Tamandua tetradactyla: one gene and its partners. The protein of the gene in region 1 interacts with the protein of each later gene in a biochemical or structural test. Links are inferred from orthologs where the notes say so. Each region holds a gene or a part of one and is shown in the gene's direction. Other genes may lie near its edges.

The links.
Region 2: the proteins of GRIP1 (region 1) and PPARG form a complex in vitro, tested with the Homo sapiens proteins (2 studies listed by BioGRID). The link is inferred for Tamandua tetradactyla from reciprocal best matches to the Homo sapiens genes GRIP1 and PPARG.
Region 3: the proteins of GRIP1 (region 1) and CARM1 form a complex in vitro, tested with the Homo sapiens proteins (2 studies listed by BioGRID). The link is inferred for Tamandua tetradactyla from reciprocal best matches to the Homo sapiens genes GRIP1 and CARM1.
Region 4: the proteins of GRIP1 (region 1) and THRA form a complex in vitro, tested with the Homo sapiens proteins (2 studies listed by BioGRID). The link is inferred for Tamandua tetradactyla from reciprocal best matches to the Homo sapiens genes GRIP1 and THRA.

What each region holds. Positions count from the first base shown.
Region 1 is NC_135333.1:134,777,293-134,785,035, reverse strand, and holds the start of GRIP1 (glutamate receptor-interacting protein 1), read left to right. Parts: upstream 1-4,736; 5' UTR 4,737-6,588; coding exon 6,589-6,691; intron 6,692-7,743. UniProt on the Homo sapiens protein: May play a role as a localized scaffold for the assembly of a multiprotein signaling complex and as mediator of the trafficking of its binding partners at specific subcellular location in neurons.
Region 2 is NC_135335.1:36,552,225-36,559,660, reverse strand, and holds the start of PPARG (peroxisome proliferator-activated receptor gamma), read left to right. Parts: upstream 1-4,424; 5' UTR 4,425-7,436. UniProt on the Homo sapiens protein: Nuclear receptor that binds peroxisome proliferators such as hypolipidemic drugs and fatty acids.
Region 3 is NC_135337.1:90,987,293-90,994,961, reverse strand, and holds the start of CARM1 (histone-arginine methyltransferase CARM1), read left to right. Parts: upstream 1-4,653; coding exon 4,654-4,867; intron 4,868-7,669. Other genes in the region: C11H19orf38 (protein HIDE1), read left to right, coding at 2,756-2,905. UniProt on the Homo sapiens protein: Methylates (mono- and asymmetric dimethylation) the guanidino nitrogens of arginyl residues in several proteins involved in DNA packaging, transcription regulation, pre-mRNA splicing, and mRNA stability.
Region 4 is NC_135332.1:27,215,013-27,222,601, reverse strand, and holds the start of THRA (thyroid hormone receptor alpha), read left to right. Parts: upstream 1-4,581; 5' UTR 4,582-4,711; intron 4,712-7,589.

The sequences.
Region 1 (7,743 bases):
GCTTCATAATATGCCTTAAAGTCCGGCAGCGTGAGACCTCCAGCTTCGTTCTTTTCCCTCAAGATACTTTTAGCAATTCGGGGCACCCTGCCCTTCCAGATAAATTTGCTTATTGGTTTTTCTATTTCCGAAAAATAAGTTGTTGGGATTTTGATTGGTATTGCATTGAATCTGTAAATCAATTTAGTTAGGATTGACATCTTAACTATATTTAGTCTTCCAATCCATGAACACGGTATGCCCTTCCATCTATTTAAGTCTTCTGTGATTTCTTTTAACAGTTTTTTTGTAGTTTTCTTTGTATAGGTTTTTTGTCTCTTTAGTTAAATTTATTCCTAGGTATTTTATTCTTTTAGTTGCAATTGTAAATGGAATTCCTTTCTTGATTTCCCCCTCAGCTTGTTCATTGCTAATATATAGAAATGCTACAGATTTTTGAATGTTGATCTTGTAACCTGCTACTTTGCTGTACTCATTTATTAGCTCTAGTAGTTTTTTTGTGGATTTTTCCGGGTTTTCGACGTATAGTATCATATCATCTGCAAACAGTGATAGTTTTACTTCTTCCTTTCCAATTTTGATGCCTTGTATTTCTTTTTCTTGTCTAATTGCTCTGGCTAGAACCTCCAACACGATGTTGAATAATAGTGGTGATAATGGACATCCTTGTCTTGTTCCTGATCTTAGGGGGAAAGTTTTCAATTTTTCCCCATTGAGGATGATATTAGCTGTGGGTTTTTCATATATTCCCTCTATCATTTTAAGGAAGTTCCCTTGTATTCCTATCTTTTGAAGTGTTTTCAACAGGAAAGGATGTTGAATCTTGTCAAATGCCTTCTCTGCATCAATTGAGATGATCATGTGATTTTTCTGCTTTGATTTGTTGATATGGTGTATTACATTAATTGATTTTCTTATGTTGAACCATCCTTGCATACCTGGGATGAATCCTACTTGGTCATGATGTATAATTCTTTTAATGTGTTGTTGGATTCGATTTGCTAGAATTTTGTTGAGGATTTTTGCATCTATATTCATTAGAGAGATTGGTCTGTAGTTTTCTTTTTTTGTAATGTCGTTGCCTGGTTTTGGTATGAGGGTGAGCTTCATAGAATGAATTAGGTAGCTTTCCCTCCACTTCGATTTTTTTGAAGAGTTTGAGCAGAGTTGGTACTAATTCTTTCTGGAATGTTTGGTAGAATTCACATGTGAAGCCGTCGGGTCCTGAACTTTTCTTTTTGGGAACCTTTTGAATGACTGATTCAGTTTCTTTACTTGTGATTGGTTTGTTGAGGTCATCTATTTCTTCTTGAGTCAAAGTTGGTTGTTCATGTCTTTCCAGGAACCCGTCCATTTCATCTAAATTGTTGTATTTATTAGTGTAAACTTGTTCATAGTATCCTGTTATTACCTCCTTTATTTCTGTGAGGTCAGTGGTTATGTCTCCTCTTCCATTTCTGATCTTATTTATTTGCGTCCTCTCTCTTCTTCTTTTTGTCAATCTTGCTAAGGTCCCATCAATCTTATTGATTTTCTCATAGAACCAACTTCTGGTCTTATTGATTTTCTCTATGTTTTCATGTTTTCAATTTCATTTATTTCTGCTCTAATCTTTGTTATTTCTTTCCTTTTACTTGCTTTGGGGTTAGTTTGCTGTTCTTTCTCCAGTTCTTCCAAGTGGACAGTTAATTCCTGAATTTTTGCCTTTTCTTCTTTTCTGATATAGGTATTTAGGGCAATAAATTTCCCTGTTAGCAGTGCCTTTGCTGCGTCCCATAGGTTTTGATATGTTGTGTTTTCATTTTCATTTGCCTCGAGATATTTACTAATTTCTTTTGTAATTTCTTCCTTGACCCACTGGTTGTTGCAGAGTGTGTTGTTGAGCCTCCATGTATTTGTGAATTTTCTGGCACTCCGCCTATTATTGATTTCCAACTTCATTCCTTTATGATCGGAGAAAGTGTTGTGTATGATTTCAATCTTTTTAAATTTGTTAAGGCTTGCTTTGTGACCCAGCATATGGTCTATCTTTGAGAATGATCCATGAGCACTTGAGAAAAAGGTGTATCCTGCTGTTGTGGGGTGTAAAGTCCTATAAATGTCTGTTAAGTCTAGCTCATTTATTGTAATATTCAAATTCTCTATTTCTTTACTGATCCTGTCTAGATGTTCTGTCCATTGATGAGAGTGGCGAATTGAAGTCTCCAACTATTATGGTAGATGTGTCTATTTCCCTTTTCACTGATTGCAGTGTATTTCTCACGTATTTTGGGGCATTCTGTTCGGTGCAGAAATATTTAAGATTGTTATGTCTTCTTGTTTAATTGTTCCTTTTATTAGTAGATAGTGTCCTCTTTGTCTCTTTTAACTGTTTTACATTTGAAGTCTAACTTGTTGGATATTAGTATAGCTACTCCTGCTCTTTTCTGGTTGTTATTTGCATGAAATATCTTTTCCCAACCTTTCACTTTCAACCTATGTTTATCTTTGGGTCTAAGATGTGTTTCCTGTAGACAGCATATAGAAGGATCCTGTTTTTTAATCCATTCTGCCAGTCTATGTCTTTTGATTGGGGAATTCAGTCCATTAAATTTAGTGTTATTACTGTTTGGATAATATTTTCCTCTACCATTTTGCCTTTTGTGTTATATATATCATATCTGATTTTCCTTCTTTCTACACTCTTCTCCATACCTCTCTCTTCTGTCTTTTTGTATCTGACTCTAGTGCTCCCTCTAATATTTCTTGCAGAGCTGGCCTCTTGGTCACAAATTCTCTCAGTGACTTTTTGTCTGAAAATGTTTTAATTTCTCCCTCATTTTTGAAGGACAATTTTCCTGGATATAGAAGTCTTGGTTGGCAGTTTTTCTCTTTTAGTAATTTAAATATATCATCCCACTGTCTTCTAGCTTCCATGGTTTCTGCTGAGAAATCTACACATAGTCTTATTGGGTTTCCCTTGTATGTGATGGATTGTTTTTCTCTTGCTGCTTTCTAGATCCTCTCTTTCTCTTTGACCTCTGACATTCTAACTAGTAAGTGTCTTGGAGAACGCCTATTTGGGTCTATTCTCTTTGGGGTGTGCTGCACTTCTTGGATCTGTAATTTTAGGTCTTTCATAAGAGTTGGGAAATTTTCAGTGATAATTTCTTCCATTAGTTTTTCTCCTCCTTTTCTCTTCTCTTCTCCTTCTGGGACACCCACAACACGTATATTTGTGCGCTTCCTATTATCATTCAATTCCCTGATCCCCTGCTCAAATTTTTCCATTCTTTTCCCTATAGTTTCTCTCTCTTTTTGGAATTCAGATGTTCCATCCTCCAGTTCACTAATTCTAGCCTCTGTCTCTTTAAATCTACCATTGTACGTTTCCATTGTTTTTTCCATCTTTTCTACTTTGTCCTTCAATCCCGTAAGTTCTGTGATTTGTTTTTTCAGACTTTCCATTTCTTCTTTTTGTTCAGCCCATGTCTTCTTCATGTCCTCCCTCAATTTATTGATTTGGTTTTTGAAGAGGTTTTCCATTTCTGTTCATATATTCAGAATTAGTTGTCTCAGCTCCTGTATCTCATTTGAGCTATTGGTTTGTTCCTTTAACTGGGCCATATCTTCAATTTTCCTGGTGTGATCCATTATTTTTTGCTGGCGTCTGGGCATTTAATCAGATTTCCCTGGGTGTGGGACCCAGCAGGTTGAAAGACTTTCCTGTGAAGTCTCTGGGCTCTGTTTTTCTTATCCTGCCCAGTATGTGGTGCTCGTCTGTCTGTGGGTCCCACCAGTAAAAGGTGCTGTGGAAGACTCTCGCTGTGGGGGAGGGTCGCCAGCCGACGCGGCTTGGGGGGGTGACTATCCATATCTCCCAGCCGGCACAGGAAGCCACATGTGGGGGGGGGGCGCCGGCTGTCGTGGCTTGGGGGAGTGCTGATCCAAAGCTCCCAGGCGGCCCGGGAAGCCGCGCGTGGGGGGGGGGCGCCGGCCGCTGCGGCTTGGGGGAGTGCTGATTCAAATCTCTTAGCAGGCCCGGGAAGCCGCGCGTGGGGGGTGGGGGCACCGGCCGCTGCGGCTTGGGGGGGTGCCGATCCAAAGTTCCCAGCCGGCCTGGGAAGCCACGTGTGTGTAAGGGGCTCCGGTCGCTGGCCTCCGTGGCTTGGGGGACCTCTGATCCAAATGTCCCAGCCGGCCCGTGAAGCTGCGCGTGGGGGGTGGCACTGGCCGCTGCAGCTTGGGGAGGGTGCCTATCCAAAGCTCCCAGCCAGCCCGGGAAACCGCGCGTGGTGGGGGGCGCCGGCCACCGTGGCTTGAGGGACCTCCGATCCAAATCTCCCAGCCAGCCTGGGAAGGAGGGAGGGAGGGGCTCTGGCCGCCAGTTGCCACGGCCCGGAAAAGCGCACACCTCTCAGGGACCTCACCGCAGCGGATTCTCTTAGCCGGTTCAGCCGTTCCAGAATGGGGTACGCTGTGTTTCTGTTCTCTGTCGTGGCTCCAGGAGCTGTTCTGTACTGTCTCTATTTCTTTAGTAGCTGTTCTCGAGGAGGAACTAAGACCCGTGCGTCTTACTATGCCGCCATCTTCTCCGGACCTAGGTCATATTTTTTAATGCAACCTGCCAATCTGTCTTTTTATTTTGTAGCTGAATCCGTTAACATTCAATTTATTAATATAAAGGCAGTATTTCATTTTATTCTTTGGTTTTATCCTTTGATATGATAATGTCATATCTTATTTTTCTCTCTCTTTTTTATCCTTTCCATTTTCAATACTGGTAATTGTACATTTTAAACTTTCCTTCCAAGCCTCTTTCTCCTGTTTTTCCTTTCAGGCTGCAGAACAACTTCCTTTAGTATCTATTGTAAGGAAAAAATACTTGCCCTACAGGTTGTTTTGGGAAAACGTTTGTCAACATTTCTTATTGACAGACTGTTTCTGTTTATCTATGGGTATTTTAAACTTTCATTCATTTTCAAAGGACAGTTTTACCACATAAAGATTTCTTGGCTGGCAGTTTTTCTCTTTCATTATCTTTAATATATCATACCACTACTTCCTTGCCTCCATGATTTCTGATGAGAAATCAACACTGTGAGATGGATTACTTTTCTCTTGCAGCTTTAAGAATTCTCCCTTTACCTTTGGTATTTGACATTCTGATTAGTATGTGTCTAGAAGAAAGTCTATTAAGATTTATTCTGTTTGGAGTACATTGTGCTTCTTGGACACATATGTTTATTTCCTACCTAAGAGTTGGGAAATTTTCAGCTGTTATTTCCTCAGATACTCCTTCTGTACCTTTTCCCTTCTTGTCTCCTTCTGGAACACCCAAAATTTATATATTTGTATGCTTTGTGCTGTTATTCAATTCCTGAGAAAGTGCTGAATTGTTTCCTTTTTTTTCTTTCTCTGTTCTTCTTTTGGTAAGATTTTGATTGTTCTGTCTTCTAGTTCACTGATTCTTTCTTCTTCCTGTTCAAATCTGATGTTGTATGCCTATAGTGAATTTTAAACCTCTTCTGTTGGGCCTTTTATTCCCATTAATTTTGTTTTATGTTTCTTTTCATAATTTCAGATTCTTCATTATGGTTACCCTGTGACTTTTAATATCTTTTACCTCTTTGTTTGTATTTTTCTTCATCTCCTTGAATTTATTTGGGGGATTTGTTTGAACATCTTAGATTACTTGTTCCGTATTCTTTGTTTCCTCTGAAGTTTTAATTAGTTCCTTTGACTGGGAACTAATTAACAGGGCCATATCTTCCTGTTTCCTAGAATGGCTTATGATTTTTTGCTGATGTTTGGGCATCGGGTTATCTTGATGAGCTTTCTGTGAAGATCAATTTCTTGCACTGCCTGGGTTGTTACAGTTGATTGGCTTTGTTTTAATGTTCTTCTTTGACATATGGTTCAACTTATTCTAGTCCTTTAGAATTTCCTGTGTTTAACTGATCAGATGTGTTCAGCTCTTCTTCATCTGATTCTTGCCTTGGGTATGTGGCATTATTTTTAAGGTTGCACTATTTGTGCAGTTGTTTCACCCGCAGGAGAGAGCTCCCTTTCACCTATTCTTTCTCCAGAGATCTTGATATATTCTTTTTGCTTTTGTTTTGTTTTATCTCCCTATTTATTTTTGTATTCATTTATTTGCTTTTTACTCTTCTTTCATTGCCTCTAGCTGCTTTTGTGTGGATGCCAAATTCTGGGAAGAGGGTCCCTCCTGAGAGGACTTTCCTAAATCATTATTTCTCAGGTAAAATCGAGGCAGAAGCCCAGGAAGGGATTATATATTTCCAAAGAGCCTTGGAGAGAGGATCAGGAAAGACCCCTCCCAAAACTTTTTGACAGCCCCCCTAATTTGTACTTTCTTGGCCTGTCCAGAAGATGGCATGCTTCAACAGACTGTTCCCAGCAGCGCTAAGGAAGCCCTGTGTCTTTAAACCTCCACCACCATCACCATTGCCTGTTGTGGCATTGACACAATGGCCACAGTGATGTCTGCCCAAGGTGGGCTAACATCAGAGCTGGGACTCCGTGATCTAAATTTGCCAGTCAGAAGCTGTGATCAGTACTTGTCTGTGCCTTATCCCTGTTCTGGGGATGAGGGCTTCCACATCTGTCACCCATGGCAGCAGCCAGCGAGGGACCCACTCGAGGTGGCTGACCTTGAGAGTGGGGGATGGGCTTCCACAACTGCCGCAGAGTGAGTTACTCACAGTTTGTTACCATCGTTTCTCACTCTCTTCGTCCCGGTCTTCCCTGGATGCTCTACAGTGCTAGCTTCTGGAGCCCCAGGACAGTTGTTGCTAATAGTTTCTGCTTTTCCACTGGCTGTTTTGTAGGGAGAAGTGATTCCTAAAGTCTCATCTTCCCTGTCCATCTCAAAGCAATGCTGACTTCTTGAAGAAGAAAGAACTAGTTTCCTTAAGTGTGAACAGGTACAGAAACTCAGAATCATTTCTGTATCTAGGGGCTCTTTGGTTGAAGCCTTTTGTTTGATTGAGTACAAGTAGGGAAGAGCTCATCTTCCCACCTCTTTTTTCTCTCCTCCATCAGAAAGCAGCAGTACATAAATGTCATGCTTGAGCCTGGCATCCTTGGTGTTATCTAATTATCATTGATCTTTAACTCTTTATTGCCTATTACTCACATTCTCCCACTTCAATGTAATTTTTTGGGGAAAGAAAAAGATCTATAGCTTTACGCTTTCCTGTCCATGTAAATTAAAGTTCAGTAATAGATTTTAAAAAAGAAAAAAAATAATGTTTCTTAGAATCTTTCTTTGATTACTTAATATCTGTGATTTTCCCTACCTCCTCTCAAGGAGAAACCTTGAAAACTAACAGTTTAACCCCAAGAATTTCATTAAGGAAGGCCTGCAATATAAATTTCTTCAGAGAATACTTTTGAAAAATAAAGAATGTTTACCTTTCTTTAATATTTGCAAATTGTAGAAGTGAGTAAACACTACAATATAATTTATTCTGCTCTGCCACTTCAAAACCTTGTAAGTTTTCTTCAAAGGCAGTCTCTTCCCTGATTATAGAAAAGATTTAATAGGAAAAAGTACTCCTGTAGTATTGTAGTACATAGACTTTTTAACTTAAAAAATAGACTTTTAACTTAAAAACTACAGCACATTTACACTTTGTTATAAAATACTAAAATGAATAATTAAAACAGGACTAGAAATGTCAAAATAAATGATAACTCTGGGTTATGGTGCAGAGCTTTTAATATTTTTCATGCATTTTT
Region 2 (7,436 bases), on another chromosome or scaffold:
CCCTGAAGTCTTTTCAGATTCCTTCCATCCCTACTCTCCATTAGCAGGGACCTGTCCTTTCTACAACCTCTTTGGTACTTAGTTGCATCTGGTTTAAATCTCTTCCTGCCACTTTTTAGCTATGTGACCTCAGCAAATAACTTAAATTCTTTGAGGCTCAGTTTCCTCATCTGTAAACTAATGATACTCACCTATTTCACAAGGTTGTTATGAAGACTAGAGATAAGGGATAAAAATTGGTGGTACTATATTACATGAGGCTTGACACAAAGAAAAGGTACTACAATAACTTGGTCATTATGATTTGTCCTTGTCTCAAGTCTCACCTACTTTCTCTTGCAGTACTGTGATTTATACTTGTCTTACTCCTCTTCACTAAAAAGAGGAAAGTGACTTGAGAATTGAGACCCAGTCTTACTCATCTTTGTATCCCTGGTTATATGACACTTGTGTCTATTGCTTGGTCTGTAATAGCCCAATTATCTAATCCTGACATTGGCCTCACCCTTTTCCTTTCTGCAAAAAAGAGGGAGCTACCTGTCAAGCCCATGTCGTTTTTATGGTCAAAATAAGATGTTCTAGTTTAAAACACTTAGCAGAGCGCCTGACAGAGTAGGTGCTCAATAAATGTGAAATTTGAGTCTTAAAGCTAGTTTATATTTATCAGTCTGCTAATTTTCACTAATGTTTTAAGACAGAGTCTATAGATCAGAATGTAGAGCCCTAGAATGGAACCGATTTTATAATGCTCTGGGGAGTGGAAATATAATGCTGTTATTTTGATAATATGCATCTAACGAAGACAGTAAACATTTAGTTTGGCCCAATCTACTATTGATGGATTGATGACCCTTAATGGAAAATAGACCCAAAAATATTTTCCGTACTACCCATTGTTTAATTTTCATTAAAATTCAGTTTTATGTATGAATTTCACAGATATATTTTATTCTATATCAAATGTCTTTGACTACAGCTGTGGCTTGAATGTGTCTATTTCTTCTGAGTGGACTTTTAAAATTCATATTTGTTTTTGAAGATTCCATATGCTACTTGTATACCCTACCTGCCTGAAAATTATTTATGTAGCTCATTTGAACACAAAAGTAATGGGAGGGTTACTTGGTGACTGCTCTTTTTGTTATTTTCTTAATTAAGTGCCATTGGATTGATTTTTTATTAGTCCAGTCAAATTTAAATTTTGCTTGGAAGAATTCATAGTATGTTAATTTTGAGACCTACTCTGTTGCAGGCACTGATTTATTTAAATCATATCCTCTAAGTCTCATAATTACTCTCTTAGATGAAAAAACCCAAACTAAAAGTCCAAAGTAGGTGACAGAGCTTGAATTCAATCCAGGTCTATTTGACTCTTTTTGCCATACTGACCAAAGACCTATGGGCAGAGTTTTACAGCCAAAAAAATCATCTATTCCATGCTGCAGCCCTATTCAATAGCTGCTATTATTTTCTTGTTTTGCTTTCAGTAATCTCCTAACATTGTTGTATCAGCTGAATTAAATAATATACAGGCAAGGTATTTTTGGTTTGTTATGTCTCATTTATTTTTTTTGAGAAGTCATGGGTTTAAAGAAAAATCATGTCAAAAATACAGAATTATCATGCAGTCACCATCTAAGGTATTTTTAAATTGGGGCATTGTTACCTCAAAGTGGACATTTTCACATAATAATGCTATTATTTTCATAAGGCCAAGGAACTGTGTCAGTAGAAAGCTGTTGGTACCAAAAGATCCCCAAGATTCTATGATGGCTTATGAAGAACATAGGAATGAAGTAAAGGGCATTTATTAGCAAAATAAAAATATTACCAAATCCTAACTCACTGACCTTGAACTGCGGGGTGACCGTTCATATTTTTGTGGGTCATGCGTCCCTATTGAGTCATATAATACAAATGGTTTTATGCCGATGAACTTCTTACATGTTTGTTGGCATTCAGGATCCCTGATAGGAACAATTCCTGTGAACGTTTCATTGTAATAATTTAATGAGGGAGAGCACAGTGTAGAGCTTTGGACTGGAATCAAGAAACCTGATTTCTGGCTCAAACTCGGCTATTCTCTATCTGGGTCATAACGTCGGGCAAACTGATTGAATTTCTCTGGAACCCATTTTTCCCTCCATGAAAAACTAAGAGCGAATATGTGTAACCTTCCTGGTATTAAGCTTTGTGAGTCTGAGATTTCAATAGTCGGTTTCCTTTAGCAGGATCACAGAACGGGGAAACTGCTTACTTTACATAAAGCACACCAAGCTTGCTCGTAGGATATCTGTGGGTTACATCCCTTACAGACGTGGCTCACCAATGACTGGATAGGTTACCCAGGAAATCTCTATATAACCAATCTGGAAAAATTAATTGATAAAATCTGAAAACCAAAGAAGATAGCTAGCTATTTTAGAGGTTTCGCATTTCCCGTAACATACCTATGGGTCGGTTGAAAATATAGCCTATGGAAACCCAATTACTAGAGAATTTTAAAAATTACCTGCAAAGACAAGTCAGCATATTTTAGGTGGACTTCTTTGGTTCAAAGATACAATAATTTGAAAAGTTTTTAATTGATCCCTAGAAGTGGTCAGACACGTTAGGCTCTTTTTCAGGTACTATAGGCAATGGGGGGGAAAAAAAGGAAATTCTCAACTGATTTTTCTTTTTGAGAGTTTTACTATTGGGCATTATTTTTCCAGACAAAAGTACCTTTTATACTGTCCCCTAATTACCAGTCAGATATGAAAAGGAAAACTCAGAATTCAAACATGAGTAAGAATATAATATACAGAATACCTATTCAACTTCCAGTAAAATAATTGTAGGCATCTCAATGTCAGACCCCAGTGGGCTTTAAGGATTAATCCATTTTGCAGAAAGGTGAGACATCTGGACCAACTATCGATGGACTACACTATAGGTGAGACGTGTGGACCAGCGAAAGGACCCAGCAGATTTGTGGCTGAGCCCAGGTAAAAGCTTTAGGACTTTAGAATCTGAATCAGGATTTTGAAGATCAATTATACACCAACTGAAGAAAAAAAATATATATATATATATATACACACACACCAACTGAAACTGTTGGTTTCAAGGTAACGTAGTTTCATTCTGTTAGTATTGAAAATCAAGATGGCATAGTGGTTTAAAATATTAATCTTGTATCGAAAATACGTTTCTTTTTAAAATTCTGAAACCAAATTAGAGTTCGTGATTAAAGAAGAATGAATTTCTCTACCAAAAAAGACAAAAGCAAATGAGACGTGTCTGTTTTGGTACTGGCCATCCCCTGTCTTTCTGTGGGAAGACTCAGCTTGCTGGGTGGGTGGTGGTGGAATTTACTTCTAAGAAGACAGATTATTTGTTCCACTAAAAGGCATGTGTCCCATTGGCACATCATTCTTCCCATGTTGTCTGCCCTTTGACTCCGAAGAAACCCTGAACTGATGCAACCACCAGCAGAAGACAAGGTTCCAAGCCAACTTTAATTGCACTTGAAAAATGCAGCACTTCTTTTGGGTAAGGGGAGGCATGTGCTGCAGCAGTCATGCTGGTCGTTAGCAATTATCTCACTTCCTCCAGAGAGAGCACCACAGGGAAATTCAAGTCTTGTCCGAGCAAGAAGATTGATGCTGTTATTGGTCCATTAGCTCTCTCAGCTCCTCCTTGAATAATCCATGTGAGAGGAATGTGGCAAGCAGCTGCCCTGTCATCATTCACATCAATAAAAACAATAAACATGTATTTTTATGCCAACTAGGGACACTGGGCTAGACTTCAGAGATACAGAGAGGAGCAAGATGCTGTTCTTTCAAGGAGCTCCTAAACTTTTAGGAGGAGCCTAAGTTTTAGTAACACTCACTAATGGAGCAACTTTTGAAAATGGGTTGATAGCAAAAGAAAATAAGACTCTAGGTAATATTATATACCGATCCATCCAAAGTTTACATGTAAGAAAAAGAGAGCTTTGAAAGCAGTTTTTAAAATCCAATCTAGAGGATAAAATCCAAATTTAAGTTGTAGCTAAAAAGCAAAATTTTAATTAGCTTTCAAGAATAACCCAACATAAAAGTATATAGATCCTGTTTCATGGTGATCTTTGACTTAAATCATGCCAAACACTGTACAATACTTGGGGGGGGGGGAGAACTTCGTACAGATAAAATACAGTGATTCTGTTAACTATGGGTTTTTTTTAGGCTTTCTCTGCCTTTTTAATAAAAAATCATTCATTTTTTTAAATGATTTTTATTTGTATACTGTACAGTGGGGTCACATTTCATTCTTTTCCCATGTGAGTATCCCGTTGAATTTTTGTTGAATTTTTTGTTTGTTTGTTGTTTTTGTTGGTTTCTGTGTTTGTTTGGGAAGTGCATGGGCTGGGAATCAAACGTGGGTCTCCTGCTTGGCAGCTGAGAATTCTACTACTGAGCTACCCTCACACCCCCCAAATCATTCACTTTTATTAGTCTAGGTGCCTTCTCCTAAAGGTACTGAATTGGAGGAGTTTGTTTTGGGGGACTGAGTATTATTTATTTCCTTTTGGTCAAAGACAGATTCCATAAAGTAATATTGAAGACTAAATATCAAAGAGTAGCTGTCTCATCTCAGTCTAACACTAGACTGTCAAGTGTTTTCCACACTCATGAACCAGGATAGAGTTAAATAAACTTTTCACCCTCTTCATGAATAGTCATTCCTGATTATCCCCATTCTATCTCCTCCTGCCGGTTTGGTAGTATACACATAACCACATACATTATAGATATCCAGAAGTTCATGAAGAGCTGCCTTCCCAACCTCTAGATCATGCAGAGCCCTACATCCCTCAGTAGAAGGAATTGAGTTAGCTTTTGTGCATGGTGCCTAAGGAAGGTGGCTCTTTTACCACCACTCCTTACTCCATAAAATTACCAAGGACTCTCCTTCTAGGGGCTTCTGTACAGAATAGCAGTAGACTTCTATATAGAGGTTTCCTTGGTTAGGTGGAAACCTCCATGATTCCATTCCAATGAAATCATTTTTTAAAGCATCTTATAATATCTTCAGGTTTTTTTATTATAAAGAATTGGATGCTGGGAAAGCTGAAACTATAATGGTAGAAATACTCACATGCATGTGTAATCTCATGAATTTTCTGGTGACCACACGCTGTCCACCAATAAGAAAGACTTTGTTTAAGCAAATATACTATTTCTGATATATATGCATGATAATTGGCATTCAGAAGTTAAAATCAGTTAAGAGATCACTCTTGTAGGTGTATTTGGGATAACTTTAATAAATACACTGAAATATGAACTCATTGAGAACAGGAACCTTGGCTTATTAATGTATTTATTTTCTATGCCTAGAATAATACCTGGAATTTAGTAGGCATTTGACAAATGTTGAATGAACAAGTGATGGATAGATGTAAAATAAATCTTTTCAGTGTCTAAGAACCCAACAAGTCTGTAATTAGATGGAAATGGATTTTACTCAATTTATTTGGCCCAGTTGATTTTGGTCCATTTTTTTCCTATGTGAGCAAATTGTGTTTGAAGTAAACTCACTCTACAGTATTGTAAGACAAAATATTATAATGAAATTTAATATGAAATTTGATCAGATAGTCTGCATTGTATCGACATTTTGTGAGTGGCTTGGGTTGCTTTGTATATTGCTTGGTTTGTATACTGCCATTTAATAGTAAATACGGCTGTAATTTGCCTACCAGACACAAACACATCTTGGAACCTTGAGGAGGAGTATTTGTAGGCAGAATGACACTTTAATTTTTGTTCGGTTTTATTAGAAAGAACGAAAGCACCCTTGACTTTAATAATTTACTTTGATTCACCCAAAATCCAATCAAGAATCTTACACTGAACCACACCCTCAAATATTATGTCATCGTGTCGGGATTACTTTGTAACATAAATAAATTTCCCAGCATTGAGAGGGAAGGAGCAAGGTGTTTATTTAGAATTCACACTGAATATGGCTAAAACTAGTTCTACACAACTAGAAATGCCTCAGCCATTTGGACTGTCAAGAAACTTGCTTTAACCTGAGAAACTGAATGTAGATGAACTATATATATATTCCATGTGGGGAAAATTGGGGTAAGTATAACAGGGTTATTGCCATCTGATTTTCTGCCGTACGTGGGGGTATCTTTTTAAGTCCACAAGTCACTGCAGTTTTATTAGGGCCACTTATGTGACAAGAAAAGGCCTGCTCCCACATTAGGCATTTGGCACAGCTAGCATTTCTCCTTGCCAAAAAGGGCAAAGGCCTTGAGCAAGAAGCCAGCTTTTTCCTGATTACAAAACTGACCACAATTCCTCGCCAGCCTATCAGCGTCACTCTCTGTTTTTTTTCTGGTAACGCGCTATTCTTCACAGAGAGTGAAGAGAGTGGTTTTTTTGGTCTTTGTTTTGTTTTTTTTCATTATGACATGGCACTTATCATTTAAACATCACCTGGTGTTCAAACATCAGCTGATGCAATATTGCTGCATTTGTCACTGATGGATAAAGCTGAAAGTTTTAAAAATGTAAACCCGATAAGTAAAACCTTAGTGAGTGTCAGGCTTTGTCTCCGTTCTCTCGGCTATTTAATTTTATAGAATTTGGGCAGCAGGCAGTGTCATCTGGGACTACGAAAAGCAGTAGAATGCCTTACAGATATAACGTTTCAGTGGCGTGCTGATACCAAATTTATTTATTTTTATTTATTTTTTATTTTTTTATTAATTAAAAAAATTAACACAACATTTAGAAGTCATTCCATTCTACATATACAATCAGTAATTCTTAATATCATCACATAGATGCATATTCATCATTTCTTAGTACATTTGCATCGATTCAGAAAAAGAAATAGAAAGACAACAGAAAAAAATAAAACGATAATAGAGAGAAAAAAATAAAAATAAAAAGATGATTACATATTTGAGTTCCAAAGTTTTCTTCAGATGAGGGGATTCATAATTCAACCAGAAGCTGAGCAGCTAGAAGAAACTTTGTCCAAATAAAGTTACCCGGCATGTCTTAACATGGAGATTTAAAGTGTACCTTTTAAGAAGCATCTGATTATCGAACCACCTCTGTGCTCTGATAATTCTCAAGACTCTATGGTCTGTGCCCCTCACAAGACACTTTGCATGTGGGTCACTGGCCAGACAGTGTGGCAATGTTTTCCTTGTAATATATCAAGTCTTGCCAAAGCAGTGGACAACATTATGACACAACATTTTGTCACAGCTGGCTCTTTTAATAGTTCCTGGCCTGCCAATTCAGGCCTGGTCCTTTTGGTGTTTATTCCCGCCTCTCCCAAATATTTGGAAATGGAGGTCTTGACTCATTGGTGTATTCACGTGTTCGGTTACTGCAAGTCGTCGTCTTCTTTTTTTTCTTTCTTTTTTTTTTTTAATG
Region 3 (7,669 bases), on another chromosome or scaffold:
GCACTCCGACGGGATGGGCTCGTGGTCCGGGTGGCCTGGGGGAGAGGAGCGGCCTCGCTGGGGTCCTGGAGGCTTGTGTGGGTGCGAGGCACGCTGTACTCCTCTCCCGGCATGAGGAAGGGCTACCTTTGGCCTAGGGGGCAGGCAACCAGAGCTGGCATTTGAACCCCGGGCTGTGGGACTCCACTGTGTGGCTGCAGCTGGGGTGGCCTTGGCATTTGTACCTTTTAATGTTTGTTCATTGGTTGGTTTTACACTAAATCAGACATATCTTTGGCCTTTGAACACCACGGATAGAGGAAATGTTCAGCCATCTCCTCCCCACCCAGAGGACAGGTGACCCCACAATGGTGACCCCAGAAATGGATGTTTCCATTTGGCCATTGGGGAGCACTGGGTGGGCAGGCAGAGACTAGGCCAACAGCATCCCGGCAGGGCAGTGTTTGACCCACACTTCTCGGGCATGCGGGCGTTGGGGAGAATGGGACAAGGCTCTCGCTTCCTCCCCCAGAGCTTCCGGTGCACGGGAGAGACGGATGGTGCCGTGGGGAATGGAGCGACAAGTTAGGGAGCGGCCAAGAAGCGACTTAGATGGGAGCTCAGGCAAGGCCTCTCTGAGATGGGGTAGTAAGGAGGAGCGAGGAGGTGAAGGGCCAGTTTGCTTGATTCAGGCTGAGGAGCTGTTCTTGGCCTGGCCCAGGAATCTGAGGTGGAGTAAGGAGTTGGGGAGGACTTAGGCTTTTGCTCCAAGTGAGATGGGAGCCATGGAAGGTTCTGGGCAGAGGAAGGACGTGCCCTGACTCAGGTGCTCACAGGTGCCCTCTGGCTGCAGTGGGGGGAACAGCTTGTGGGGGTAGGAGATGAAAGCAGAGGCAGCTGCACTGGTCCAGGCACACAAGGTGATGGATGTTTGGGGTCAGGGTGCTGGCAGTGGAGGTAGAAGCAGCAGAGGGAGGCAGGTCACGGTGGAAGCAGGACTGCTTTGGGGTTGGATGAGGGAGGCCAAAGGAGAGAGGGAAGTGTGAGACAGGGCAAGATTAGGATGGCTCCCAAGGGAGCTGCCCTTTCCCGGGGTAGGGAGTCCTGGGGCAGAGGCAAGCTTGCGGGGATGAGACCACGGGATGCATCACCCCACCCGGTAGTACCCAAGAGCAGATGGAGACGTGAGTCTGGAGCTCCTGAGAGGGGTCAGTTCTGGAAACCCAGACTCAGCCACTCATCCACAGATGGACAGGAAGGGGCCTTGCCCAGGCTGGCCCCAGGCCTGGCACATTCTAATACTTTCCACCACAAGCCATTCTGCTTCACATACCAGCCTAGTGAATTTTTCCTTGGTGACTTTGGGAAAAAGTTATTTATTAATTTTTTTAAAATATGATATATAGTCATCTGTATTTCACTGTATTACAGTAAAACAGTAAATCTGTTTTCTAAATATCATGCTCCTTGAACACATACAAGGTAGGCTTTTTTTGTTGTTTTACTAAGGAGAGACTTTATCAAAAGGATTATTGTAAAGGGGGAAGGATAGACTTTAAAAAAAAATTTATTTATTAAAAAATTTAACAAACCAAATAAAACATTAACATATATAATCAGTAATTTACAATATCATCACTTAGTTGCATATTCATCATTTCTTAGAAAATTTGCATCAATTCAGAAAAAGAAATAAAAAGACAATAGAAAAAGAAATAAAACGTAAACAGAAAAGAAAAAAAAAAGATTATACTTACCATACCCCTTACCCCTCGCTTTCACTGATCACTAGCATTTCAAACTAAATTTATTTTAGCATTTGTTCCCCCTATTATTTATTTTTATTCCATATGTTCTGCTCGTTTGTTGATAAGGTAGATAAAAGGAGCATCAGACACAAGGTTTTCACAATCACACAGTCACATTATGAAAGCTATATCATTATACAATCATCCTCAAGAAACATGGCTATTGGCAGCCTCTCCATTACATCTTGAATAACAAGGTGATATCTACTTAATGTGTAAGAATAACCTCCAGGATAACCTCTCCACTCTGTTTGGAATCTCTCAGCCATTGACACTTTGTCTCATTTCACTCTTCCCCCTTTTGGTCCAGAAGGTTTTCTCTAAGTCTCAGCTCATTCTAGGGTTTTTCTCAATCCCATGATGCTGAGTCTCAGCTCATTCTAGGATTTCTGTCCCACGTTGGCAGGAAGGTCCACACCCCCTGGGAGTCATGTCCCATGTAGACAGGGGGAGGGTGGTGAGATTGCTTGTTGTATTGGCTGGAGAGAGAGACCACGTCTGAGCAACAAAAGAGGCTCTCTTGGGCGTGACTCTTAGTCCTAAATTTTAAGTAGACTTGACCTAGGAAGGATAGACTTTTGAGGGAGTTTGGAATGGGAAGGGAGAGGAGCTATCAGTAATAGATTTGTTCACTTAATGAACAGCACTTACAATGCACCAGGCTGCTGTATTTAATAAGAGGTGGGTACTAGCATTCTCCCCATTTTGTAGAAGGGGAAACTAAGGCCCAGAGGGGTTAAGTCACTGGGCTGAGGTCACACAGCCAAGAAGTGGTGGAGCTGGGATTTGAACTCAGGCCATCTGGTCCTGGGCTCAGGGCAGCGGGACTGAAGCCCAGAAGAGGGTGGAAGTTGGGGGGGAAGGCAAAGTGGGGGGTGGGGTGGGGGAGGCTCAGAAAGGGAGGGAAATCCGAGATCCTGAAACCTTTAGTCACCCTGTTCTCTCCCTCTTTTCTTTCTGGGATGAAGAAAATGACTATGGAAGATGACACAGCCACTTTGGAGGCCCACCCTGGCTCTGCCGCAGCCCCCGGCAGCTCTGGGCCCCGGAAGAGGCCCACGTCCACCTCGTCATTCCCTGAGCCCCCTGAGTTCAGCACTTTCCGGTCCTGCCAGTGAAGCCAAGGCTGGAGCCTCTGGAGTCTGAGCACCCTCCCTTCAGCCCTTCTCCCTCCAGCTGGCCCAGCCTGTTGGGGGCCTGAGGTCCCCACCGCCCTCAGCTCCTCTGGGGAGCTCAGGCTACTGCTTTCTCAGGGAATTGACCAGAGATGATGGGGCCCCCCCAGGCCTTGGCGCCTTCCTCATGGGGGGGCAGGGGCCTGGGCACTGGTCTGGAGGCTGGATGGAGCAGGAAGGCTCTCTCTGGATTTCCAACTTCTGAATACCACCAAGGAAGGAGACCGGAGGCCTGGGCTCTACACACATACACACATACCCCTCCACTTGGGCACTGGACTCCTGGGCTTTTGGAGCATAGGTACCTGGGTGTGCCCTGTGTGCCTGCCCTGCTGGCACGCCTAAGTTATTATAACACGTTTTGAGGTGTTTCCAAGGCCCCCTGTAGGATGTGATCCTTCCAGCCTGGGACCTTGCGGGTGGGTGTGGGGAGAGCATGAAGGGCCCAGGCGTGTGCGTGTGGCCTGGGCTGCTGTCAGGGTGGTGCACGCGGAGGGGTCTCCCTAAGGCGCTCGCACTGGTGGGGGCAAGAGAAGGAATGATGGGGCAGGGGTGGGGTGGGGTGGGGTGTAGGACAGGGGTGGATTGCGGCGAATGAGGAGTAAATGAGAAGGTGCGGGTAAGGGTGGGCGCTTCGGAGGATCGGAAGTGACTACAGGCCCCCTCGGACCTCCCCAAAAGGGGTGTGGCCGCCGAGCAGTGGAGGGGGCTCGGAAGGAGTGGGGGGGACGCTGGACCCACCCTGCGGGATGCCTCGTCATTGAGGGGGGAGGGTACCTGGGGAAAGGGAGAGGCCAGGGGACATATAGAGGTGGGAGTTGAGGTAATCTTTTTAGGGGGAAGGAGAAACTGAGAGGCCCGGAATGGAGAAAGGGGCTGTGGGGAGGGAACGGAGGTGATGCGGCAGCCCGGGGAGGAGGGGACGGGGTGCGGCCGGTGCTGGGAAGGGGGCGTCGGGACCCTGCGCCCACCCAAGCCCTTCTCAATCTTCTGTTCCAGCCGCCGGGCTGGAGGCGGGGCCACGGGCAGGGGGTGCGCCCCTAAACCCTGCGCCCGCTCCCCACTGCCGCCCTCCCGGAGCGCCTCAGGCCTCACAATGATGGGCGGAGCCCAAGCGCGGGGGCGTGTCCGGACCGCCCAGCCCCACCTCCGTCCAGCCCGCGCCGGGCGAGCCCCTTCACGAAGCGTGGCCGTTGGGGCGGGGCGGGGCGGGGCGGGGGCGTGTCCGCACGGGAGAGCCCCGCCCCCACCTCCCCGGGGCACCCACGCCACCGGACAAAGGGCGGCCGTTCCGGCGAGGCGGGGCCAAGCCTCGCGGGCGTGACGGCGCGGCTGAGCCTCCGCCCCGTGACGCACGCTCCCGCCCCGCTCCGAGCCACCTCACAAAGCGGCGACCGTCCGCGGTGGGCGGGGCCCGGTGCGCGTGCGTGAGGCCCGTCCCCTCCACCCCCACCCCGCGGCGTGCTCTCTCCTGGGCCCGGGGCCGCCGGCAGGGGGCGCTGCGCCACGGGGCCGGGCCGCGGCGGTGGCAGCGAGGCGGCGCGTGGCCGGCAGGCGGCGCTGCCCGGCTCGGCCTCGGCTTCGGCCTGCGCGGCGGCGGCGGCGGCGGCGGCGGCACCGGCGGCGGCGGCGGCGGCCTGGGCCCGGGCTCGGCGGCGGCGGCGGCGGCGGGGCCTGGAGCCGGATATAAGATGGCAGCGGCGGCGGCGGGGCCGGGCGCGGGCGGCGCGGGGGCGGTGGGCGCTGGCGGCGCGGGGCCCTGCGCGGCCATGTCCGTGTTTCCCGGCGCCCGCCTCCTCACCATCGGCGACGCGAACGGCGAGATCCAGCGGCACGCGGAGCAGCAGGCGCTGCGCCTCGAGGTGCGCGCCGGCCCGGACGCGGCGGGCATCGCCCTCTACAGCCGTGAGTGCGGGGCCGCCGGGGCCGGGCGATCGCGGGGGGCGGCGCACGAGGCCGGGCCCGCCGCGGGGGTCCCCGAGCCGGAGGGCCGGGCCGCGGTGCCGGGCCAGGGTTCCCCAGGGCGCGGGGCCTCGGGCCGTGAGGGCCTCGCGCCGGGGTGGGGTGCGGGGTCCCGAGCGGAGGGGTGTGGAGGTGGCCGGGGACGGGGAGAGCCCGAGGGCGTGCGCGGTGGCCCGAGGCGAGGTGCCCGGAGTGAGGAGGCAGGCGGGAAACGGGGGCGTGTGGGGGCCTGAGACTTGGGAGGGGGTGGGCAGGAAGCGGGGGCCCGAGAGTGGAAGGGGAATGGGGGGGCAGCTGGGCGGGTGGGGACTGGGGGGCAGAGGCGCGCCGCGGCGGTGGGAGAGGTGGGAGCCGCGGGGCCGGGTGTGGCCGCCTAAGGGGGCGGAGGGTGGGCTGGGGGGCGACCGGCCCTCTCAGGGGGCTCCGGGTGGGGGGCCTGCCGAAGACAGTTGGAAAATGTCTCGCACACTGGTTCCTGGAGCTCAGTTCCTGGGTTGGGGCATGACGTTCAGGATCGAGGAGGGGGAAACTCCTAGGTCCGGGGAGGGGGTCTCAGGAGGGGCTCCTGGTGGGAGTGTGCACCGGGAGGGCCCGTCCCAGATGGCAAGTAAGAGGTAAGGGGGCCTCCTCGCTCCCTGCGGTCCTCTTCTCTTCTCCTGGGGGTTGTGAGAAACTGGATACAATTTCAGAAGCCGGTTTCAGAACTGACATTTCAGTGGGGGCGGGAGGGGGGAACACAGCAAATCACAAAGGTGTTTGCCAAGGACCCTGAGTCTTTGTAGTTCATCCTTTTTCTTTCTCTTGTTACTTTCTTTTCTTCTCTGCCAGTCTTCCTTCAGGTTTTGCTATTCTGTTTCATTCTGCTTTGTCTGCCAGGGTCCTTTGGCCTGCATTGGTCTGTGTGACTTTATTGCCACTTTGGGGACCTAGTAGTCATTCCAGAGAGTGGTAGGCTCACACCGTGGCTTTGAAAAAGAAAAAACAGATCAAAGGAGCTGTGCCTGGTTCTCAGTTGTCACATCTATCTTCTCTTGGACAGGGCTGGGGTCTTCTTGAACCAGACGAGGAGAGGGGAGGAGAAGGTGTAGTTAGTGGGCATCGGAGCTCAGTTGGACAGACATTGGAGCTCCATTTTAACCTGGGCAGGATCCCCAGATCATAAGCAGATCCATTCATTGGGCAAGCACTTGTGGCTAACTCTGTCCTGAACAGAAAAAAGTAGGGCTGCCTTCCTCAAACTAGAGTCCCAGGACTTATCCACAAAAGGCTTACTGTCAAAGAGTCCCAGGAGAGTTTATCTTTCTTTTTTTAATACTTTTTTTTTAATATTAGAATGGTTTCAGATTTATAGAATAATTGGCAAGATAGCACAGAGCATCTTCTACAGCTGACATCTAATCACCTGGATTAGTGATATCTTACTCCTGGAGGGTTTCCTCATCTTGTGTTTTAGTCTTGTTGGTCCTTTTTAAAATGTTACTAGTTAGAAAGATAACACTTCTCTTTTAGAGATAATCCCTAGCTAAGAAGGCTTTTAAAGAGGAGAAAGTCTGTGTTTCTCAAACTGAGTTCCTTGGTTCAGGCTGATACCTTTTCATGGGGTTTGAAAGAAGCTTTTCCCTGTCCGTTCAAGCACCGTTGGTATGGAACAGAGAACCTGGGTTCAGAGTTGGCCACACCTGGGAGTGTTAGTTTCCTAGGGCCTTCAGGACAAGGTAATTCAGACTTGGTGGTTTAAAACAACTAAAACTGGTGGTTGTGGAGGCCAGAAGCCCAGGATGGAGGTGTTGGTGGGACCGTCCACCCCCCACCCCCTGCAGGTTACGGGGGGTCAGGGGTTCCTCCCTGGCTTTGTGCAGCTTCTGGGGGCTCCAGGCTTTGCTTGGCTTGTGGCCACTTCTCTCCATCGCTGCCACTGTCTTCCTATGGTCCTCTCTCCTGTTTCTCTGTACGCTCACCTCTTATAAGGACTACCGTCACTGGATTTAGGGCAGCCTCGTCTGGAAATCCTTCATTACATCTGCCAAGACCCATTTTCCAAATAAGGCCCCCTGCACAGGTTGTGGGGGTGAGGGCTTGGAGCTGCTTTTTTTGTGTGTGTGTAGGGGGGGCACCATTCAGTCTGCCCCATGTGTGAGACCCGTGTCTTGCCGTTTTTACTAATTGTGTAACTTTGTGCCTCACTTTCCTCATTGATAAGATGGAGCCGATGACGAGGTTGGGTGAGCCCATGTGTTTGCTCGATAAGCACATGCCTTTACTTTGGAAGTAGCATCTGGCCCCCTTCTGGGCTGTGATGGGCACGAAGTTGGCTGGGTTTCTGCATAGGGTGAGGTGGCACTCATCCCTGAGATGACAGAAGAGTACGGGACCCAGGGAAGAATTGCTCTGAAGTATGGCAGGACGGTTGCAAAGTCCCAGGGCTGGGGCACGGGGCCTGCATGTGGAGGATTGGAGAGCAGGCCCGGCCAGCTGGGCAGGGAGGGCAGGCTGATAGCCCTGGGAAAGCTCAGAGGTCGTCCAGCCCCTGGAGGCTGAGGCATCTGGGGTGGGGGGGGGCTATCACCCACCCCAGTCCTATGACTTGGGGGGTGAACCTGGCTTCGTGGAGCTTTAAGCCTTCTCTGGAGATGTACTTTTTTCCCCACTTCGCAGCATTTTCCCATCTGGATCCTCTGGCGCCATCGAAAAAGCACCAGGAGCCCTGTTGTGCACTCTCTGCCCATCGTGAGAATTCGTTAAGGA
Region 4 (7,589 bases), on another chromosome or scaffold:
CTCAGCTCTGATAGTGGCTGTGTTCTCACCTCTGCTTCCCTAGCCCTGAGCCCCAACTTCCTCATCTTGTTGGCTTGACTGGCGGGGGAATGGATCTGGCTGGAGAAGAGGGGACAGCAAGGCAGAATAACATGGCAACATCTGGAGCAATGGCAGAAAAGGAGCTTGATCAAAGTGGGGGTGGGATGGGGGAAAAGGCTGTGAGGCCCAGGGATTTGGGATATCCAAGGGAAAGGAAACACTTTAGGCTAGTAGAGAAAAGAACCAAGTGTCTAGCCCCAAAAGCCCAAGAAAGATTGAAATACTTGGCAAGCATACAAGGCACAGAGGGTTTCATTTACTTTCATTCCATCGGAAAACTGCCATTACCCTCCCCTAACAGGAACATCTTTCTTTAGAAGCTTGCCTGGGTCTCACCACTATAGGAAGTTAATTGGCAGCAGGTGGAGGGAAGAGAAAACGAGTCCATCCCACACACTTATATACACAGCTGGCTCCAAACCATTTTCCTTCCCCCATCAGTTCCCAAATCCAAATCACAGCTTTCCAGCTATCTGGGAGAAAAGATGAGGGTGGAGGGGCCTAAAAGGTGGCTCCATCTCAAGGACAGCCCCTGAATTCCCCACAATTCCCTGTCCCTGACTTCCCACAAGAAGTCCAGAAAGAGACTGGCCAGGACAGTGAAAGGCAGAATTTGAACTAATCATGAATTGTTTCCTCTCTAACACCCTGGAGGACACCTTCTCCCTCCACGCCCCCAGCACACAGGGGGAGAGTGATAGGGAAGGGGGGCCAGTCTGCTACTTTCTTTGCACCACCCCTCCCTCCAGGCCCTTGTAACTCTTCTTCTTAAACTCTGCCTCAACACCAAAGTGATTCATCTTCACCTTCAACTCTTGTAGCAGGGATGCAGACCCTGATGGAAATAGAGACCTCCCCGCCACTTCTTTCTTCTGCTGGCAAAGGGAAGGATAAGGGAGCTCTCTGGGAAAGCAAAAACAGAAGTTGGGAAAGTTTGGGGGATCCAATATCTGGAACATATTAAACACTCAAAAAATATGTTCAGTGAATGAATACAGGGGGATAAATCTGAAAGGCAGCCTTGAGAAATTATCTTCTTTTTCCACTTCTCACCTCAGCTAGGGAAAAAACAAGGCTCAGCAAGACCCAAATCCCTTCCCTGGGCACCTCTTCATGAGCCAGGACCAGGGTGCCTGATGGGACAAAGGTGATTGAAAGGGGGGAATTAAGTGTAAAGTTGTGACTTTCCTCTTGTCTGCGTGATTGCTTGCTAATTTCCCAGTCCTTCATCTTTGTTGGACCTTTGATTCTCAACTCCACATAACTGTTTCGACCTTTCCCTCTCCCTCTCCTCTCCATTTCCATCATCTCTTCTTGATTTGGAGAACACTAATGGAGAGAGACATCTGGGTTTGGGGTTCTCTTAGCTGATGGTGTCTCATTTCCAGAGCACCCCAATGAGTGGGGCTGTGTCTGTGGAGCCAAAGGGTATCTGCTGTACACCTCCTTACCACATGTTGACATCACCCAGAGCCTAAGAGGTTCAAGCGAGATGGGAAGGGGTGGAGGAGGGAAATCGCCAAGGCCAGGGCCACAGAGCTCGTTCCAGGGCTGACTGGCAGAGGGCCTGTCCCTGCTCCCCTAAACTGCTTGGGATGTGCAAGGCTTCTTGGCAGGGATGAGGACACTGTGTGCGGGCTTGGATGCCAGTTTTGGGGAGAAGCTTTGAGAAGGATATCTGGACCCCCTGGTTCCTAGGGGTGGGACCCTCAAGAAATCTTGGGGTGCTTCCTAGCAACAGCTGAAAGGAAGGGAGGGAGGAAAGAAGGGAGGAAGAGAGGGAGGAGTCTGGGCATGCTGTTTCAGTGGGAGCCCAGAGAACAGGCTGTTCCTGCTGCCTCCTTGGCAACCAAAATCTAAGAGGGAGGGGGCTGTCAGACAAATCCCCTTTGAGGGTCCCTATCTATTCTCACTCATTTTCCACCCTCCCTCTCTCCCCACAGACCCAGGGCTTGCTGTGAAGCGAAGTAGGGGGATGGGAGGGGATGGTGCCAATGGAGACCTGGTGTGAGGTTCATGGCCAGTAGAGAACAGGAGCTGGGACTGAACAGAATCTGAGAAGAGCTGGAAGCTTCAAGAAACTGGGAGTGGGTAAGAGAGTGGGGTTGGGAAGGGGGATAGTGCAACCAGGGGCAGGGGCTGTAAACCCAACCTGGGCTGGCTCCTGGCACCTGGCAAGATGCCTGCTTTGGAGGCAGTGTGTCCTTCACCTTGCCTTTGCCTAAGTCTGCCACCAGCCCATATTGGGAGCCAAGGAGAGAGAGAGAAGTAAGAAGAAAAGATGGGAATGGTGAGTTCTTTGTGTTTGAGTTCAAGATGCCCTACATTGCCCCTGAGATGGGGGGGGGGGGGCAAGGGGGAAAGGTAACTCAGGAATTGCTTCCTTTCTACAGCTCTGGCTCTAGGATTTAAAAATGTCTCCTTTACCCAACATCTTTAGGAACTGGCTCAAAGAGAGATGTGGTAAGCAAGCCAGGATGGAATAAAGACAAAGCCACAGCCCTTCTTCTTCTCCCTCTAGACCCCTTTATTCCACCCCTAAGCCCGATTACTGCTGGGGCCGCTTCACTGCCTCCTGGTCTGCCTGGTTCACTGCAGAGTATAAGTGTATCTCATGTGCTGGGATTCTCTCCCAAATCCTCAGGCAGCCCAATCCCAAGGGACAATTTCCATGCAGGGCAGAGCACTGCACCCTGAGGGTTGCACACTGCAGCCCAGCTCCCTAGGGTTTCAACCAAACCTGAACTTGGAGGAGGTGGCAGCAACTGGCAGACAGCCACCCTCAGTGCGCCTCACACTGCACACTGCAATTCCACTGCATGCTGACTCTGCATTGCAGCCTCCTGCCCCACACTGCAGCTTCTGCATACCCACTGGAAGTCCAGATGGAACCCACAGGTTCACTAATGGTGTGCTGACAGCACATTGCAGCCTAATTCTTCACTGCAGCTGCCACATTGCACACTGCAGGTCCCCTTTGCCCATTGTACTCCCGCCATCAACACCACCCCCACTATGTACTCCATGGATTTCATCTCAGCTGCTTTTCTCAACCCTGTGGACCTGGGAGCCACAAGAGTGGCCCCACCCCCATGCATTGCAGACCCCAATAGCCCTGGTAAGAGGAATAGTTCCAACAGAGCTAGGGGTACCAGGGGCTGAGACTAAGATGTGCAAAGGTGGCCCCACCTCACTGGGTTGTTGGTCAAAGCCCCACACCTCAGCATGTGATTCTGCCCAATAAACAGAGCTGCTGCCCCTAATACACACACACAAACTCCCCGAGAGCAGACTGTGGAGAAAGGGCCCCGCCCTGGGAGCTGTGGGATGGCTGTGGCCCCCGCTGGTAAAACTGGGCTAATGACAGCAGGGGAACCGGCGGGGCCAGGGTGGGTGCTGGGGTAATTAGAGCTCTGCCGAGCTCTGGGAGATCCTGACATGAAAGGGGCTCTGGCGTCACCGGGATGGTCCTTAAGGCAAGTGTCTGTGTGTGTGTGTGTGTGTGCATCTATGGGGGGTGGGGCTGGCACGATAGAGACCTCCCTTCTGGAAAAGGGGGTCCATGTTTATATAGCCCACCCTCCTTTTATACTCGCTTGGTACCATTTGGATTTTGTTGGGGGCAAACATGGGAGGAAATACCACCCCTGTCAAGCTGGGAGTTCAGGTGTATGGCAAGTCTGGCCCCCTCCTGGAGCTCAACCTGTGGGGAGGTGGGGAGGCATTGCGGATTGTCGGGGGGGGGGGGGGGGGAAGGCTGATGACAATGAATAAAAATATATAATGGAGGAGGGTGACATTTGAAAGGGGAACCAGCAGATCCCGTAATGATGTTAGAAATGGGAGGGGAGGAGAACATGGGGAATGTAGTGATAATCCCCAAAAAGATTGAGAGCAGGATGACTTAAGTTAAATGGACATCAGGAGTCACCTGCCCATTCCTTTCATTTTAAGGTGCAGGAAGCTGAGAGCGGTGGTGATTTATTCAAGGTCACACAGTGAGTTACTGGCAGAGAAGGGACCCGAACTCCGAAACAAACTCTGAACCTCTAAGCGTTTAGCTTATAAGCTCCGACTTATAACGCGCAGGTGGCACGTTAGTAACCCGCCCCCGTGCAAACCCTAAAACCCCCAAATCTCCCAGCAAAGGCTATTTTTAAAATAACATCTTCTCCCAAATATGTCAGCAAGTACCACTCCTCCCGGAGACGTCTGCTGTGTGTATGTGGAGGGGAGGCCCGAGCCTGAGAGGGGCGGGGGCGGGGGCAGGAGCGGCGGAGGGGCGGCCCGGCCGCTGGCCAGGGTCCCGGGGCGCGGCGGGGGGCGAGAGGCGGGGGCCGGCGGCGGCAAGGCGGCCTGCAGGGAGCAGCCGCGAGCTGGCCGGGCGCGCCGAGCCCGAGCCCCAGCCGGAGTGGGGCGGGGGAGGGAGGAGCCAGAGCGGCCGCCGCCTCTGCCGGAGGAGCCGCGGGGCCGCCACACTCGCCCCCCGCCCCCCCGCGCACACTCGCACTCACACCCGGGCGCAGGAGGCGGGCGGCCCGGGCCCCATCGGCCCCCCATGGACGCCCCCGGCACGGGGCGCTGAGACCCCCGCGTCGCTGCCCAACCCCGTCCAGCGCGCCACGCCGAGGTAAGGGGAGGGAGCCAGTGGGGGGGGCATTAATATGCAAATGTCTCGCGATTGATTATGCAAAGCCGCGGGGCTCTATAGCCAGCTCTGGGGCGGACTGGGGGCGCCCAGAGGGTACGCGCTGCCAGCCCTTGCCTTCCCCCGCGCGCGGGTGACCCTGTCACAGCCCGGGAGCATGCAACTTAACGCCCTGGGGAAGGGAGGTGTTGCTAGGAGGTCGGTGGGCCCCGGGGTTCGTCGGCGGAGATGGCGTCCGGGCCTCCCCCTCGAGGGCCCGCCCGGCCTCTGTCTGGCGGGTCTTCTGCGCATTCCCGGGCCGGGCCCCGCTGCCGGCCGGCCGGAGCTCCCCCGCCCGCCGCGCCGCGGTTTGTTTACGGTGCGCCGGAGGCCTGCCCCCCACCCCCCAACCCTAGCTTCCGAGGCTGAGTGGCTTTTGCAAAGCTGCCTCTGGCTGCGGAGGGCAGTATGGGTCCGGTGGGGGTGGGATGGGATGGGCTTGCACGGGCCCGGGGTGAGGGAAGTTACCCCCCACTCCGCCCGCCTCTCCAATTGAACATGGTTCTCTGGTTGCAACACTCCTATTTGCAAAAACGCGACGGGAGGGGGGAGCGTTGTGAGTGTGTGTGTGTGGTAGTGGGGTGTACTTGAGGGTCCCTATGAGATGGAGAGTTGCAAGCAGAGTGGCTAGAAAAGAGGGAGGAACGGACCTGTGTTGTGTTTCCCCTCCTTTCTTCCCCTCTCCGCCCTCCCCGCCCTGCAACGTGTCTCTGGTTGGTGCCCCTTCTCTTTCTGGGCCCTCCCTGGTTCAGTGTGAGCGGTAGCGGAGAGGGGGACGGATAATGGGGTACTGGAGAGAGCCATTAGCCTCATGAGTGGGGGAACATAGAAAGAAAGCCAGTGGAATGGGAGCCTGCCCCTCAATGCTGGCTGTGGCCCCAGGAGGGGGAGGGGATGAAGGGGGCTGTTGTCCAAGATGAGGGGGTAAGCGAGTGTGACATGCAAGCACAGAGATATGACCACAGACAGCCACATGCACACCCAGGGACACCCAGGCAGATTCAAGGACAGGAGCTGCTGGACACACCCACACCGGGACAAGGGAAGAGGCAGGCTGCTGCTGCATGGTAGAAGCTCAGAGGGCAGGACACACCCACGGGAGACCAAGAGCAGGGAAACTGATCCATGCACATACCCAGGCACAGAGTCACAGGGAGATGCTGTCACACTCAGGGGCAAGAGGGAGCCTCTGTAGCACCTCGCATGCATGCACGCACACAGAGCAACTGCACACAGCCACACAATTACAAAGACCCTGTCACTCACAGGCACACACGTGCTCGCATGAGCCCACTCATACAGACATCATCGCCTGCCGTGACAGTCGCTGACACTCAGTCAAACATAACTGCAGTTACACATCAACACATGTATACACAACTTAGCAACAAGTATTTTCCTGGACTCTCATGGTGTAGCTCTGAGTTTCTGTATACAAAAAAAAAAAACCTGATGTCAAGAAAATTAAATTTGCCCATGTGAAAAGACTTTTCTGCATAATGGTGCAAGGCATGCATTCATTATAACACATTCTGTCTCCATGGCTTGTCATACCATCCTGCTAAGTGTATGCTCCTTAACCTGCTCTGGGATCCCCCGTAGAGCCTGGCACAAAAGGTGCTCTGTAAACATTTGTTAATTGATTGACGCTGGGCACTCTAGACACAGGTGCACTCATTTGTACACAGTCCCACGGACCCTGGTGTCCATCGTTTCAGATCCACACTGACAGTGGTGTCCAGACAGCCCCAAATGCACACATTGTATATCGTGCATGTAGACAGGCACACACTTAGACGTATACACAATCACAGACTTTTTATCTGAAGCTTCCTCCTCTAGGCTCACCCTCTGAGTCCTAAGAGGATGGGCTTTTTTTTTTTTTAAGAGATGGAGAGAGCATCAACAGCAAAGAGAGTGGGAGCAGGGGGGTTCCAGAGGGCCGAGTTATGGGCCCCAAGCAATGTCCAGTGACTTCCCAGCTGGGATTATCCTGACTATTGGAAGAAGAGCTGTTTGGGGGAGAGCTGGCTCCTTGGGAGCGGCCTCATCCCCACCTTAAAAGCAAACTGGGGGTTCTAGCTGTCTCTGCCATGGGTTATTTGCTAGGGCCTTTCCTGGGGACAATCACTTAGTCCCATTTGAGTTCTGCCTCCTATCAAGAGTCTGGCCCCTTTTCCCACCTCTGCTCTCCTGTCCCGGCTTGGAAGCTCTCCTTAGGAAACGTGTGCTAGTGAGTATCTGGGTGAGCAATGTGTATTTTTGACTTGGAATTTCTCTCTGACTCTGTCTCTCTGTGGCTGTCTTGCTGTGTCTGACTCTCCCTCTCTCTCTCCTTGTTTCTATGCTGGTCTGTAACTCTCTCTCCCCCTGTCTGACTACCCCTGTCCTTGTCTGCTTCTGCTACGGCCTCCTGTCTCAGAGCTGGACACTGGCGGTAATGGGCTTCATACTTTTCCAGTTGTTAATGCGCAAACTCCGCCCCACTGCCCCTCCCGCCCTGTCTCTGGGGTCAGCAAGAGGTTGGGGGGGGGTGCTTAGCTGGCTGCTCAGGACATCCTGCGCTTCCTTAGTGCTGCAGCTGCGGCCAGTGAGTTTTGGGGGCTGGGAATAGGGGAGGGCAGGGAAGGGGGTCATTTGCTGCCCATGCTGACCCCTCAGGCTGGCAGGCTCAGCCAGGGGACACCAGCTTTGTGGAAGCCCTTGGTGTGCAGGCTGCAGCTAGCTGGCTCCCAAAAAGCCATTGAGAGGTACCCCACCACACCGACCCCAGCTAGAAAACAATCGCCCCTATGGGTAGTGGCGGGAGTTGGCACGACTC